Linked DNA regions of Danio rerio. The protein of the gene in region 3 interacts with the protein of the main gene of each other region in a biochemical or structural test. Links are inferred from orthologs where the notes say so. Each region holds a gene or a part of one and is shown on either strand. Other genes may lie near its edges.

The links.
Region 1: the proteins of ptenb (region 3) and pdgfrb form a complex in vitro, tested with the Homo sapiens proteins (2 studies listed by BioGRID and IntAct, with this or other methods). The link is inferred for Danio rerio from reciprocal best matches to the Homo sapiens genes PTEN and PDGFRB.
Region 2: the proteins of ptenb (region 3) and rps9 form a complex in vitro, tested with the Homo sapiens proteins (2 studies listed by BioGRID). The link is inferred for Danio rerio from reciprocal best matches to the Homo sapiens genes PTEN and RPS9.

The regions. Positions count from the first base shown.
Region 1 is NC_133189.1:3,757,589-3,762,760, forward strand, and holds the start of pdgfrb (platelet-derived growth factor receptor beta), read right to left. Parts: upstream 3,507-5,172; 5' UTR 3,423-3,506; intron 1-3,422. UniProt on the Homo sapiens protein: Tyrosine-protein kinase that acts as a cell-surface receptor for homodimeric PDGFB and PDGFD and for heterodimers formed by PDGFA and PDGFB, and plays an essential role in the regulation of embryonic development, cell proliferation, survival, differentiation, chemotaxis and migration.
Region 2 is NC_133191.1:35,113,435-35,118,612, reverse strand, and holds rps9 (small ribosomal subunit protein uS4), read right to left. Parts: upstream 3,507-5,178; 5' UTR 3,476-3,506; intron 2,779-3,475; 5' UTR 2,763-2,778; coding exon 2,666-2,762; intron 2,553-2,665; coding exon 2,430-2,552; intron 2,252-2,429; coding exon 2,065-2,251; exon of another isoform or gene 1,388-2,064; intron 1,183-1,387; coding exon 1,005-1,182; 3' UTR 915-1,004; downstream 1-914. Other genes in the region: rap1gapl (rap1 GTPase-activating protein 1), read left to right, coding at 1-65, 254-311. UniProt on the Homo sapiens protein: Component of the small ribosomal subunit. The ribosome is a large ribonucleoprotein complex responsible for the synthesis of proteins in the cell. Part of the small subunit (SSU) processome, first precursor of the small eukaryotic ribosomal subunit.
Region 3 is NC_133187.1:19,017,726-19,022,856, forward strand, and holds the start of ptenb (phosphatidylinositol 3,4,5-trisphosphate 3-phosphatase and dual-specificity protein phosphatase PTEN), read right to left. Parts: upstream 3,408-5,131; 5' UTR 2,785-3,407; coding exon 2,706-2,784; exon of another isoform or gene 2,638-2,705; intron 2,193-2,637; exon of another isoform or gene 1,893-2,192; intron 1-1,892. UniProt on the Homo sapiens protein: Dual-specificity protein phosphatase, dephosphorylating tyrosine-, serine- and threonine-phosphorylated proteins.

The DNA.
Region 1 (5,172 bases), on a different chromosome or scaffold from region 3:
TATCTCTATAAAAACATTGCGCATTTCTGAATGTCCCTCACACTGGTGAGTGGGTTCGACAAACCACCTGTGGAAACACTCTTTTATCCAATTCCACCACTTAAACTCTATCCTACAAGCACTCAATAAGGTTTACATGTGAATTTACCGCAAATCATGTCGCACTGCTTACTTTTTCAACCTTAAACTATCCCTTCTGCACAATATTATTCTGTTTTGCATTAAGTGCTTGTATAGTTTGTCTTAGATTACGTGTATAGTTAAGTATCTAAAGTATATGTATATTTTGTATAGTTAGATTACCAGTCTGGTATGTTAGTTATTTAGATTTAATGGATTATATAGATTCTGGAATTCTTTAAATGTTGTGTTTTTATGACACAAACACAACTACTAGAGAAAAGGCAGCGAGAGTTTCAATGAGAACAGAAGAGCTCAAACAAACCACCACAACAGCACGTTACAATGCCTCACAAGAAAACACACATCTGTAAAGCCTCTCCAGTGTTGACGAGAGTGTTAAAGGTGTTCAAACACTGACTGTAAGGCGCAGATCTGTTTGCTCTCGGCACATTCTCGATCAAATGCAACACGTTTAACACACAAATAAACAGCAGAGATCAATGCTTCACCAACAAAAGCTGAACAAAAAATGCTTCAAATTCTTTAAGATGGGATAAATCTTTGTTTAAAAAAATCTAAACATCGCAGGCAACATCTGGATGAAATAAACAGTACACAGCCAAACTGAATACACCCCTAATAAAGTTTACATTTGATCGATTTCTCATTAAATATAGACAATAAATGTACATACAATCACTCTGTATCTCTATAAAAACATTGCGCATTTCTGAATGTCCCTCACACTGGTGAGTGGGTTCGACAAACCACCTGTGGAAACACTCTTTTATCCAATTCCACCACTTAAACTCTATCCTACAAGCACTCAATAAGGTTTACATGTGAATTTACCGCAAATCATGTCGCACTGCTTACTTTTTCAACCTTAAACTATCCCTTCTGCACAATATTATTCTGTTTTGCATTAAGTGCTTGTACAGTTTGTCTTAGATTACGTGTATAGTTAAGTATCTAAAGTATATGTATAGATTGTACAGTTAGATTACCAGTCTGGTTTGTTAGTTATTTAGATTTTATAGATTATATAGATTCTGGAATTCTTTAAATGTTGTGTTTTACGACACAAACACAACTACTAAAGAAAAGGCAGCGAGAGTTTCAATGAGAACAGAAGAGCTCAAACAAACCACCACAACAGCACGTTACAATGCCTCACAAGAAAACACACATCTGTAAAGCCTCTGCAGTGAAGACGAGGGTGTGTAAAGGTGTTCAAACTGACTGTAAGGCGCAGATCTGTTTGCTCTCGGCACATTCTCGGTCAAATGCAACACGTTTAACACACAAATAAACAGAAGAGATCGATGCTAAACAAACAAAAGCTGAACAAAAAAATGCTTCAAATTCTTTAAGACAGGATAAATCTTTCTTTAAAAAAATCTAAACATCTGAGCCAACATCTGGATGAAACACACATTACACAGCCAAAATGAATACACCCCTATTAAAAATTGTATACCCTCCATTACTCAGTGAATTTAGACAATAAATGTACATTCAATCACTCTGTATCTCTATAAAAAACATTGTGCATTTCTCAGTGTCACAACAAACAAACTACCTGTAGAAACACTATTTTCTCCATTATCACCACATAAACTATCTTACAAGAACTCAATAAGGTTTACCTGTGAATTTACCACAGTCATGTCAAACTGCTTACTTTTTCAACCTTAAAATATCTCTTTTGCACAATATTTTTTCTGTTTTACATAAGATACTTGTATAGTTTGTATAGTATTTATACAAAAAAAGTGTTGCATGCAGAACTGTTGCAAATAATTTATTTGTGCTGAATTTAAACAAATTAAGTTTAATAATGTTCAACTAAATTTGTTTGTTTAAATTCAGCCCAAATAAATTGTTTACAACCACTTAACGTAAAACATTTGAGTAAATCCAAAGAGTCATCTTTGAATAAAGTTTTTCATTGTATATATATTCCCAGAGATGGGTTGCGGCTGGAAGGGCATCCGCTGTGTAAAAACTTGCTGGATAAGTTGGCGGTTCACTCTGCTGTGGCGACCCCGGATTAATAAAGGGACTAAGTTTATATATAAACAGATGAAGTCAGAATTATTAGCCCCCTTTAATTTTTTTCTTTTGTAAATATTTCCCAAATGAAGTTTAACAGAGCAAGGAAATTTACACAGTATGTCTGATAATATTTTTTCTTCCGGAGAAAGTCCTATTTGTTTTATTTCGGCTAGAATAAGAGAAGTTTAAAATTTTTTATGAACCATTTTAAGGTCAAAATTATTAGCCTCTTTAAGCTATTTTTCCCTATAGTCTACAGAACAAACCATCATTATACAATAACTTGCCTAATTACCCTAGTTAACCTTATTAATCTAGTTAAGCCTTTAAATGTCACTTTAAGCTGTATAGAAGTGTCTTAAAAAAACACACATACTGTACTACTCTAAAGCATCCTACAGACCAGGGGTGTCCACACTCAGTCCTAAAGGGCCAATGTCCTGGACAGTTTAGCTCCAACCCTAATCAAACACACCCGAACCAGCTAACCAAGCTCTTACTAGGTATACTAGGCAAGGCAAGGCAAGTTTATTTATATAGCACATTTCATACACAATGGCAATTCAAAGTGCTTTACATAAACAAGAATAAAAGAAACAAGTAAAATAAAAATAAAAACAAATAATAAAAATGCGTAAAAACAAAACAAAGCATAAAAACAGGTAAAATGTGATATGAAAGAATTAAGTCTCTTCTGCACAATATTGCACAATATTATTGCACAACTAGAAACTTTCAGGCAGGTTTGTTGAAGCAAGTTGGAGCTAAAGTCAGCAGGACAAGCTCAACTTTGGACACCCCTGCTATAGACCATTTCAATGTGGTCATGTCATTGGTCCATGAACATTTAATAACTGTAACAAGAGGCAATTCCATCATAACATAATGTTAAAACAGCTATCATAACATTAGTTACCAATATGTGGCTCTTTTTGGACTCTCGGAAGCTGAATTAAAAATGTACAAAAGGAAATACGTTGGGACCACTGTGTTTGTTTACACCCATGAAAATGGTCTATATACAGTTAAAAGATAGATGTGTGAGGGGTGAGCTCAAATATGCTGAACACTGTACAAACACCCAAAGAGTTACGACAAGTTCAATCTAACTCCTCTAAATTTCACATCATTGCTTTCACTGTTTAAACCTGGAACTCGTTCACTGAGAAAATAAACTAAAAACATCATGGAGTAAAACTCTCGGTTCAAAAACTGTAGGAGAGTAAAGTCCCATCTCTTACCTTGACGTTTGGATTTAAAGCATGTCTAGGAAAAGCCTCTTCTTGCTAACTTCTCTCCTCGTCTGCGTCTCTGTACGTGTGAGCAACAGTGTCCAATTCTCTGGCGTTTAGTAGTGGTCTCTCGTACAGCTGCGAGAGGGAGGGATGGAGCTAAAGCTGCAGTCTCCGGGGTCCCAGACGGAGAGGAGGCTGGCCAGCAGATCTGTTTGTTTAGTCAAATGACCACAGCAGGGTTCACTCACTGGCTAGTAAACCCAACATCCCTGCCTGCAAAGGTATAGCACAGACTAAAGCTTAAAGGGATAGTTCACCAAAACAATTTACTCACTATTTACTCTCCCTCATTTGATTTTCTGTATTGTGTTGAAGACTAAAGAAGATACTTTGAAGAATGCTAAAAACCGGTAACCATTGACTTTTACAGTTGAAAAAAACAAATACTATGGAAGTCAATGGTTACAGGTTTGCAACATTTTTCAAACTATCTTCTTTTGTGTTTAGCAGAAGAAACTTATAGGGAAAAAAAAGCTTTGGAAGTCAATGGTTACAGGTTTGCAACATTTTTCAAACTATCGTCTTTTGTTTTGAGCAGAAGAAACTTATAGGAAAACAAAATGCTTTGGAAGTCAATGGTTACAGGCTTCCAACATTTTTCAAACTATCTTCTTTAGTGTTTAGCAGGAGAAACTTATAGGAAAACAAAATGCTTTGGAAGTCAATGGTTACAGGTTTGCAACATTTTTCAAACTATCCTCTTTTGTTTATAGCAGGTTGGAAATGAGTAAAAGTTTGAAATGAGTAAAGTTTCACTAGTTAGTTCACAAAAATAAACATTTACTCATTATTTTCTAATCCTCAAATGATTATAAACTTTTATGATTTTCTCTCTTTTGTTGAAGAATGCTGAAAACCGGTAACAAATGACTTCCATTGTTGAAAAAAATAGTATGGAAGTTAATAGTTACAGGTTTCCAACATTTTTTAAACTATCTTCTTTTGTGTTTATAGCAGGTTTGGAATGAGTAAAAGTTTTCATTAGTTAGTTCACCAAAAAATGAACATTTACTCATTATTTTCTTACCCTCGAGTGGCTATAAAGCTTTATAAGTTTCTTTTGAACACAAAAGAAGATATTTTGAAGAATGTTAAAACTCACTCACTAGTAAAAACAACATCCCTACCCTCGAAAGTATATCACAGACTAAACTTTTAAGGATAGGTCACCCCAAAATGAAGAAAACCTCACTATTTACTCAGCCTCAGGTGGATTTTTGATTTTCTTTAGTGTGTTGCAAGTAGATATTTTTAGCAATGATGATAACCGGTAACCATTGACTTCTACTGTAGAAAAACCAAATACTTTTGAAGCCAATGGTCACAGGTTTGCAACATTTTTTCAAAATATCTTCTTTTGTGTTTAGCAGAAGAAACTTATAGGAAAACAAAATGCAGTGGAAGTCAATGGTTACAGGTTTGCAACATTTTTCAAACTATCCTCTTTTGTTAATAGCAGGTTTGAAATGAGTAAAGATTTGAAATGAGTAAAGTTTCACTAGTTAGTTCACAAAAATGAACATTTACTCATTATTTTCTCACCCTCAAATGATTATAAACTTTCATAATTTTCTTCCTTTTGTAGAAGAATGCTGAAAACCGGTTACCATTGACATCCATAGTTGGAAAACCAATTACTGTGAAAGCCAATAGTTACAGGTTTCCAACATTTTTCAAAATATCTTCTTTTGTGTTT
Region 2 (5,178 bases), on a different chromosome or scaffold from region 3:
TTGGGAGTACCAAAAAAGGCAGCTGCTGTAGCAGGACAGCGAACTAAGGTCAGCAAATACCTAAGGTTATATTAATTATACAAAAAAAAATTCATTTTATGATTGTGCTAATATGATCGTTTTGTTTTTCCTTGTTTAAACACTGGAAAAGGATGGTGAAAGGTAAACATCTTTAAAACAATCATGTATTAATATTAATAAATTGAATACAATTTGAAGTTACATATAATTTCATATTTTACCTCATTCACAGTGATCAGACAAGCAACACTGAGACAAGAGGACAAATCAGTCCCCAGGACGATCTGTAGAAGATGGATGACATTTCTTAAGCCGGAGCACATAAAAAAAGCCTACTGCACACTCCAAGATTATCACCACTTATCATCAGCACAATGAAGATAGATTACAACTAATGTATTAAGTTCCTAGCCGAAAGTGCAATCTAAAAAATTAAGATTTAAATAAAAAATATTTTATCTTAATATATTCTTTGAAGTGAGTTTAGATTTAATGGCTGCTTCAGCCAATGTACCCAAACAAATTTGGGTTTTACCTCTAGATGTTTGCAGTTTTTCTGTATTTAAGTCTGTAATTAAATGCATTTCATTTTGACCAGCAAATGATGACAGTCAAATATGACTACAAAAATAAATGAATTAAAAAATGTTTAACCCACTAGGGATACTAGGTATCAGTTTCTTGAGTTTTGGCTGTCATGTTGTGTTTTATTGCACATTAGGTTGAACTCGAGTTACTCAAGTGGGTTGTCAACATACACTCGAGTTGGTTTGAAACCTTTGAGCATTTGTGCAACTGTTAAATTACATAATTTGTTTAAGGTAAATCGATTGTAAAATGCCATTATTGGTAGTTACTTGAAGTAGATCAGTTTGAAAGCAGCAGGACAAATAAATTGGGAATGAACCATTTTTATTGAAAACTTGAGGGAGAAGAGAGAGCAAGCACTGCTGAGTCCCTCCACCTCTTTAAGAGGAAACAGTTTAATCTTCCTCTTCATCATCACCGCCTCCACCACCACCCTGGGCTTTCTTGGCGTTCTTTCTCTTGACGCGGCCAGGACGGCCACCACCATATGGAGAGCGGAGGGAGAAGTCGATGTGTTTCTGGCTGTCCAGCCTCACCACAAAGGAGGGGATGTTCACAACCTGCTTACGCACCCTACAGAGAGAATAAAAAAAGTTGTAAAAAAAAGGTCCACAGAGAGATTTTAGATGTCAAAAGTAAAGCTGCTGATCTCAAGGCCTCATTGACGAGGAATTCTTGACACCACTGAAAATCTGACAGTTTTTAGCTTAATCACTGGCCAAGAGAAGTGCAGCTTTATTTTAGTAAAAAAATCTGCCAAAGTGCCCACGTACATTACCTCCGACTGTTTCGTGCACTAGAGCACCCCAGACTTCATGGCAAGGTCTAGATTTTTGGCTTACAAGCAAAGGTATACGGTTTAATCACCGAATTGACCTTGCAGAATATTTCATTCCACCTCACTGGGAGGAGTTTAAACGTGGTCAGCTAATGAAAGAGGAAGAAAGCCTCAACACGTGTTGATGACAACCAATATACACATACCAGGAAATGAAAGTTAACCCTCTGGAGCACTTGTCAATAACTAATACTTGTTTTATTCTTTTGAATAAGATTGTACAAATCCTAAAAACCTGTTTTGATATTTTGGCAAAAAAAAAAAAAGTAAAATGTTTAGTAGCTGTTTGGTACTGCACCCTAAGTTTAAATCCATTTCATAGATCTCAAGCTCAAATGTCAACCAACTTTGATCATTATTAAAAACAACTTTAGAAAAACATCTAATAAGACTGAATGTGTTTGATATCAGTTCTTTAACTTGAGCAATCTGCCATAAATATATATATAATTTAAGATTGTTCTTTGCACATGTAGTTAGCAAAAGACAAATAATTTGCTTCTATAAATCTAAAAAGTCGAACTAAAACTTAAGACTAGAGAAAGCAGCACCAGAGGATTAAACATTTCAAAATCCTGTTCTATTTGAGTTTTAAACCTGTGCTTCCTAAATCTTACCGGATGTGCCTCTGACGAATGAGCACACGTGCATGGTGGATACTCTTGGCCAGCCCAAGCTTGAAGACTTGAGTCTGCAACCTCCTCTCCAAGAAATCCTCCACTTTCAGGCCCAGAATGTAATCGAGCTTCATCTTTCCCTCATCCAGCACTCCAATACGCACCAGACGCCTGAGCAGAGCATTACCTTAAAAATAATAATCACAAAATATTGTTATGTTAAACAAGTGTGATAAAGAACCAGTAAGGATGTATTGGCAGATATGGCCTCATTGACGAGGAATTCTTGGCAACACTGACAATCTGACAAGCATTATTTTAATCATTGGCCACCCAGTCTTGAACGACAGTCACAGTTCAGTTACCTTCAAAGAGACGCTTAGGATCCTTCTCATCCAGAGTGAGCAGCTCTCTGGCAGCCTTGCGGATTTTGGCCAGAGTGAACTTCACCCTCCAGACTTCTCTCTTATTCCTGAGACCATACTCACCTGTGGCAGGTAAAATTGTAAGACAATTGTAAGAAACACGTTTTTTTTTGTAAGAAACACGTTTTTGGGGAAAAAAACATTAATAATCATTTTATTTTCAACTTTGCGCTCACCAATGAGTCTTAACTCCTGGTCAAGACGTGACTTCTCAAAAGGACGTCTTGGGGTGACGTACGTCTTACTGCAAACCCAAGTCTTGGCAACCGGCATGGCGACTTATTGACGCCTGAACAAAAAAAGGTAAAGAAAAACTTTGAAGTTGCTAAAAGGTACTCAAATTTGCAAAGGATATACAAACGCCATTGTGCTAAATAATAGGTGTTGCAATGTAAGTGAAACGTCACTTAGACTTATAATTAATTTAGCGTATAATTTATATATGTATAATATATATATATATGTATAATATATATATATATATATATATATATATATATATATATATATATATATATATATATATATAATTAACGTGTGCTTGATTAGAGGTAAATTTTAATTTAAGTTAAAAAGCATTAAAGCTAACGTGGAACGAAAACCCGGTTTAGCTTTGACATCAAACACTGAAAAGCGCTTCCTTCTCAACAGAACATAGTATAATGGCACATTCGTCCTCACGTTATAAATTTTGATTTCTTCATATAAATATATATATTAGCAATCCCGGCGAGTCATTTATATGTAGAGGTAGCACGCGGTTTCACCTCAGGCTAACATTGCTGCTAGGCCTGAACGCGCCTTGTGGAAACACGTTAACTGCAATAAAGCTCTTTTCTCGGCATTATGTACTCAACTAGTTAAGAAATTAATACGTACATCTGTTACCTTACGTAAGGGAACATTAAATATTACTTAATCGTACATATTACGCATGCGTAAAGTAGAAATTTATAGCTGAAAAGGGACATTAAAGCCGCCATTACCTGTCCGTGTCAGGCTCGAACACTAAAGAGAGCGTGCATCCGGCCTTCCCGGAAACTTATACCCACCATTTAAACTACAGAACCCACAAAGCTTTGCGTGTGCATTCGGTAGTGTGTTCAGGGAAAGCTTCATGAGGGATTTGCTTCCCTCTGTTGGTCACTTACAATAAGATGATGTAGAATATATGCGTAGGGTTTAAAACACATATATATTCAGAACTGGGCGAAGGTGAGACAAGTATTTTATTGAATATCTGTGTTTACTATTCAAGTGAATCTGTAAATGTCATATTTACCAGGATAAAATGGCCGAACGAAGTCATATTTACAAGTCAACTTTAGGATTGTTGTCAAGAAGTTTTGACGTTGCTGAATGATTTAGTTACAGTCTGTTGATTTATTTAAGATTTACTAATGTAAAAGTTTATTTGCCATTCTGTAATGCGGTTTGTCTGCCAGGAGGAATGAATTTGTTCAATAATATTAATTTACACTACAGTAGATATTTATGTGTTTCTAACATTACGTTTTTAAAGATCGTAATTTAATTAAATTTAAAATAACTTCATTAATTATATATTGTTTGAGGCTTAAGTGAGTGTTTGGCTTAAACAAGAACAAATATAGGTCAATAAAGTGTATGAAAATTCTTTTTCAGTTCAAATAAAGTTGGTTTATAAAGTTGTCTAGAGACCCACTGGCGTATTTGTTCTTGTTTTAATAATAAACTTGCTTTATTTTGATCAGTTTGACTGAAAACAAGACAGACCTCCAGTTTTACTGATTAAATTAACTTAAAAAATAACTCGCAGTGACATCTTAAAATATGTCAGTGTCATTGATTAATGATGGACACCAGTAATTTGCTCTGTTCTTCTGAGTCATTTTTTAATAAAAGCTGCTTAAAAAATAATTTAACTATAAGGCCTAGTCCTGGTCTAAGCTTAGCCCCAGTGAAACCTGGCCTTGTTGTAATGTGTAATTAACACATTTTCTTTAGAAAAAAAAAAACTAAAATACTGATAAAAATTTCACTTTTTTTACAATTTGATCCTAATTTGAAGTAAAAGATTATCCATTTTATAGTCTTTGAAATCTTAAAGGGCACCTATTTTACCCCTTGTTCAAGTCTTTTGTGTCTCCAGAATGTGTCTGTAAAGTTTCAGCTCAAAACTTATCAGATTATTTATTATACCTTTCAGAACATTGGGATTTTCTGCTCTGAACACAATGCTGTTTTTGTGGCCTGTGTCTTAAATACTGGTTCTCCTCACCCACCGTTCCCACGTGCCTGTCAGAGTGTGCTTCAATCTTCACCTCGGCTGAGTCAGGTAAACAGCACAGTGACAGACAAGAAGGAAGCAGATTTCACGTTACATTTTTGAGAAATACTACAGTAAGAACTTTACCATGATTATTTTTATTATTTGATGTGCTTGTTGTGGAGTTGCAACGATGAGTTATACACAATGTCGTTACCAGGCCCGTGCAGAGACCTTCAAAGGGGCATTTGCAGGATAAAATTTATTTAAAAAGGGCATGTGCACTGCACAGGTTGAGCCCATGTGTGCACGTGCCTGGTGTTACAAAGTTCATGTACGAACGCACACACAGTGCGTTTAGTTTTGCACTGTTTTTGCACACAAATGTGACAGAATACATGTTAATATCCACTGCTGTATGGATATCCATTATGTCAATGT
Region 3 (5,131 bases):
TCCTGTGTTCTCGAATGGTGTGGCAGAATGCGGTTCTCACTCCTGATCTGGCAAACTTCACATTTCAGCAAAAGAACCATTTTGACGACATGTGTGTGAGCTCTGGGACTGTGTGATTCTTTGAAGGACTTTCAAAAGGCATAAAACTTTTAAAACTGGCGGAATTCAGAAAAAAAGTGCTTTTACAATTATGCAAGAATTGAAACAATGCTTAAAACATAAAGCAGAGTATGTTAAAGAACAGCTCATAAAACAATAAAATTCATATATTCATAAATGTTATCTTTAGACTTGCAGCGTATGCTATTTGTTAATGGTTCAGGGGCCAAAAGGATTATTTGATTCAAAAAGTCTGAAACGCAAAGAACTTTAGTAAATTCAAGCGCCTTATCAAACACGCAAAAACGTTCCTATATAAATTGCTAGACCAAATATCAAAACACACATTCCCAAGTTATCTAGCTTTCAAAGATATGCACAATACTATCAAACTTTAAATCAGAATAACTTTCTTGCCAACAAATGAAAGAGTCTGTATCTCTTAACATACATTCCACACATAACACTGAAAAAAAAAGAAAACTGCACTGAATGAAGCAACCATTGTACCCTACACTAGCCACAACAGATATGGTTATAAACAAAAAAGTGTGAGACTCAAAGTTGGAGAGCCATTCACTTTACATCACTAACATAATACAAAGTTCTGCATGTTATATTGTTGAGCTGCCAACTTACTACCTACACAACCTCAGCTATCTTTAATGAGATGTTAAAGTCTTACAGGAATCAATGGGAAATTTAAGATTGCAATTAATTCATGGCACACTATAAAGTATATTAGCATAAAAGCTCAAACATTCTTTAAATTTAAAATAAAAACAACTCTAAATTAACCAATTATTGATATAAAGGGATCAAACAGAATGCTGAATTTAAACCTTTTTGGTTCAGCGCTGTGTACATGCAAGAACAATAGCGGTCTAGTGTTAGTAAGGCCAGTTTTCTTCATCTTGAAACTCTCTATACTGATTTTAGTGTAATCTAGACTAACTTTACATATTTTAAAGTAAAAAAAAGATAGTGTATGTCTAGTTTGCATTCGTTCCTGATCTATGATAAGAATTGTAAAGTGAAAAGTATATATTCTCACTGATCTTAGACAGATTAAATGTGTATGTCTAGTTAACGATCTTTCTGATGTGTGATAAGAATTGTAAAGTTAAAAGTGTGTATTCTCACTGATCTTTGCCATAGATAGCATTGCTTTATCATTATAGCAAAAGTGGACTGAAAGAATGAAGTCATTCTTAAAATTTATTCCTGACAGTGTGTTTTAAACGCAATAAGTGCATTGCATGATGCAATGCAATGGGTCAATATAGTGACCCACACACCATCTGAGCAGGCTGGGGCAAATCAATGTCCATGCGATCAATTCATTTACAGGATGGCTCATGTAATACACTAGACCTTGTTCAATGTATGCATATGCTAAAAATTGAACGATTATCAAAACATGCAAAGGCATGGCATACTCTTAATGCTATTGAAAAGTGAATTTATTGCTCATCTTGAATGTATTGATCCTGCCCTCTATCTATCCTTCTAGTCTTTGTTAATGTCTTATATATAAATATTATTCTTATATATAAATTAATCTTATATGCGAGTTTATATTACAGAACAGCTAAGAGTTATATAAAAGGACAATGGACTGTAGATAAACATCAGACTTGGCGGTAAAGCTCCATCAAAAGGATCTTCAATAACACTGAAACCTGCTGAAATAAAACCAGACCTCTCGTGCTTTAACACTTCATCAACCAGGATATAAAGCTACTGCCTGAAAGCAACGATCACAAGCCAAATAACGTATATGCATACAATACCTGTGCTTGAAATTGTCAAATGACGTTGACATATTGCACAAACGGGGGAACAAACGTCAATGACGCTTCTAATATAAAGCGCTGCACTGCACGAATCCCTTCCTGCGATTACAAAAAGGCATATTTCACATACTAAAGCATTTCCTTTTGTTCGCCTGCGTGTGAACGGACTTGTTTTTTTTTTTTTTTTTGGTCAATCAAAACTACAAGTTGAGCGCAAGCATCTATTTTCTGCGAGCAGCTGATGCAATGCTCTTTGTGTGACACTGCTTGTGCATTTCATCTAATCCATCGCATTATATAAACCTGCGACGCGTCTTTTGTTATTAACCCCCAAACTGTCTTGATCTGAAATGTAAACATTTTGGGAGTTAGATTGCAGATTAGCGGTCAATCGATAGATCAGATTACGTAAAATGAGGAAAATGACATTTTATGACCTCACTGGAGTTGCTTATATTGTAGTCGTCACATGTAACTTGCAGACAAGCCTAAAATAACCGTATAAATGAAACGACGGCTCGATAACGTGGATAAATTAACAACTGACATTAATCTAAACGGCGTTGAGCTGATGCAGGAACAGAAACCAACTGATCTAGATCACATCATGTACAATCGGGGACTCAGTCAATAGTTCCTATAAAAAGGGAAAAGCAAAAAATGTAAATAAATGCTCATAGCTTTTTATATTCGGACGGGACGTCAGAGATTTCTTGATTTGGAACAAGATGCAAGCCGTTACCTTCATTGCCGACACTGGTTTCAACACAATAGACAGAACAGGGACATTTGATTGATCAAAGAGGATACATGTCAAGTCCAAGTCGAACCCGTCTTCTTGGTATCTCCTTTTATTTCTACTGACAAATTCCTTTATGATCGCAGCCATGGCTGTGACAGGAGTCTTTAGGGTTTTTAGTGTGAGAGAGAGTATTGTTGCTTTCGGACGGTCGGTCGTCTTTATGCTCTGCTCGTTTCGCAGTCCCCCAGCTAGCTAGAATGGAGTCTGCTGTGGCTCACTCATCAAGGGCCTCGCTCCAAACCACCACAGGCCCGGCTTCCAAAATGCCCTCCTCGGCTCAGACGAGCCCTGGGTGAAAAGATAAGCAACTTCCCACGTCTGGAACTGCAGAATCTCTAGTGCACGACAAGTCTCTGGTCGCACCGAAGCCGCCGTGATTGAGCGGAAAGGCGGAGAGAAAATCCTCTCCGGTGCTTCCACTTGAAGATCGGTCGTCAGAGCCCCGCTCGCACTCAGCTCGCGCTCCGTCTAGCCTCAACGGCTAACGCGCTAGCCCGTCTACACATCCTTAGAAAATAAAAGCCATTAAACTCTACGACAATCCGCGATGACCAGGTTCCAACACATGAAACAAAATGTGACAGCCTCCACCAAGAAATGAAAAACTCGATATTTAAATGTGGCGTAAGAGACACCTCCGGTTCTGTCCTTATCCTCCACTGCTCCACTGCCTGTTACACTCTCAAACTTCCATCATGGCTTCCCATTGAAAAAAGATGACGTTCGGACGACATATTCATCCGCATTGGCAAATAGTTCTACGGCTATTTCATTTTATGTCAACAACAAATATGTTTTTGCATCCTAGTATATAAATATACTTATTTTAAAGCATTCTTGTTGAGCTGACATGGCGTTAAATTAAGTAATATATCAACTATCTAATGTTAGGGTTACTGCGAGCGCACTAATACACAGTCGGACTACGTTTTGTTCCACGGTCACGTGTCTACAGAAATGAGCCAAGTTCCAATATTTTATATCAGATTTCAAGTCAGTTATGTAGGTGTTCCGCTCCAACATTGTCGTTTCCTTTTATGAAACAAACTCTAATTGGCTTGCCACACAATAACTGAAAGGTACAACCTACGTTTATTTTAGTCCCACTTCTGAACACGGAGAAAATATCAGAATGCACGTAAGTTATGTACCCCTCTCACCAGTGCCTCGACTACCCTGCAGGAAATTACTGAAATGCTTACGCCAGCAGAAAAGTAAGTTACTGCACAGAGGCACAATCATATTACCAGATACCTGTACATTAAATTATAGAAATTAATTGCGCCCACCTGTGATGCTAATTGTATTTAATTATGTATTTGTGTTATAGGCGTGTTCTGTTACGTTTGCTCAGATGTGGATTTTGCCCCAAGGACGAAACGGAGGTGGAAAGTTCTAGCTGCGTTTCAGACAGCAAATCCTTATTGTAGAGCGCCATCTGTCAGAATATTCTAGAATAAAGCTCGTATGCTACAAGACCAGTGGTGCCTAAACATTTTCGTAAGAAGGGCCTAAAACCAAACATCACTGAGAGCCGTGGCCGATGGTAAATATACCAAACTACATTACATTAAAGTTGCCATGAGTGATTTGTTTCATAATATTTCCAAATAATTGTTACTTTGTGTACAAAATAAATGTTACATTAAATTGTATTAACTAATGCAGTATACATTTTTAAAAGAAAACATTATTGCAATAAAACTTAAATGAATATGAATACAGAAGTCAAGCACAATTTGCCTTTGATTTGATTTGCTCACCAAAATCTCTGCATTGCCGGGTGACAGTATGCACATTTAAACAAAATCTGAGTAATTTACACCATTTAATTGAAACATTCAATTTCAGTTAGGCTTTAACAATAAAACAAATAAACAAACAAACAAAGGGTTACATTTAATTTTAAATGACAATCTCAGAACCCTCCTCAATTCTCCCTTTCTTCTCAAATGGGTTGGCGAGACAAATCAAAGGTTACCATGGGCCAACATTAGCCAGCACAGCAGGTCCTACTTTGGAGATCTAAATGCATCAACTTTCTTGTTTTTAATAAATAAATAAAAAATGTGTTTATAACTTTGATATCTCGTTAAAAGTAATGTCAACTAGAAGTTCAGTCACAATGTAAACTGCATCCACTGTGTCAACTGAATGTAGTAGGTACTAGCAGTAGATAAACAAGTTTTATTATTTTGTTATCATTTTTGTATTTTATCCATGATAAATTTCACATTAGCTACATAATATTGTATAGATTATATTTAAGTTTTGTCCTCTCTTAAAAAGTGCAACAAACATACGAATTGATGCAATGAATTTTGTATTCATAATAATGTTATGAACTTGTATGTTTTAAAGACATACAGTTCAGTGTCAGCAGATTTTGAGGTAGAAAAAGATGCTTGTAAAGCACAGATCTGTCATGGTCTAG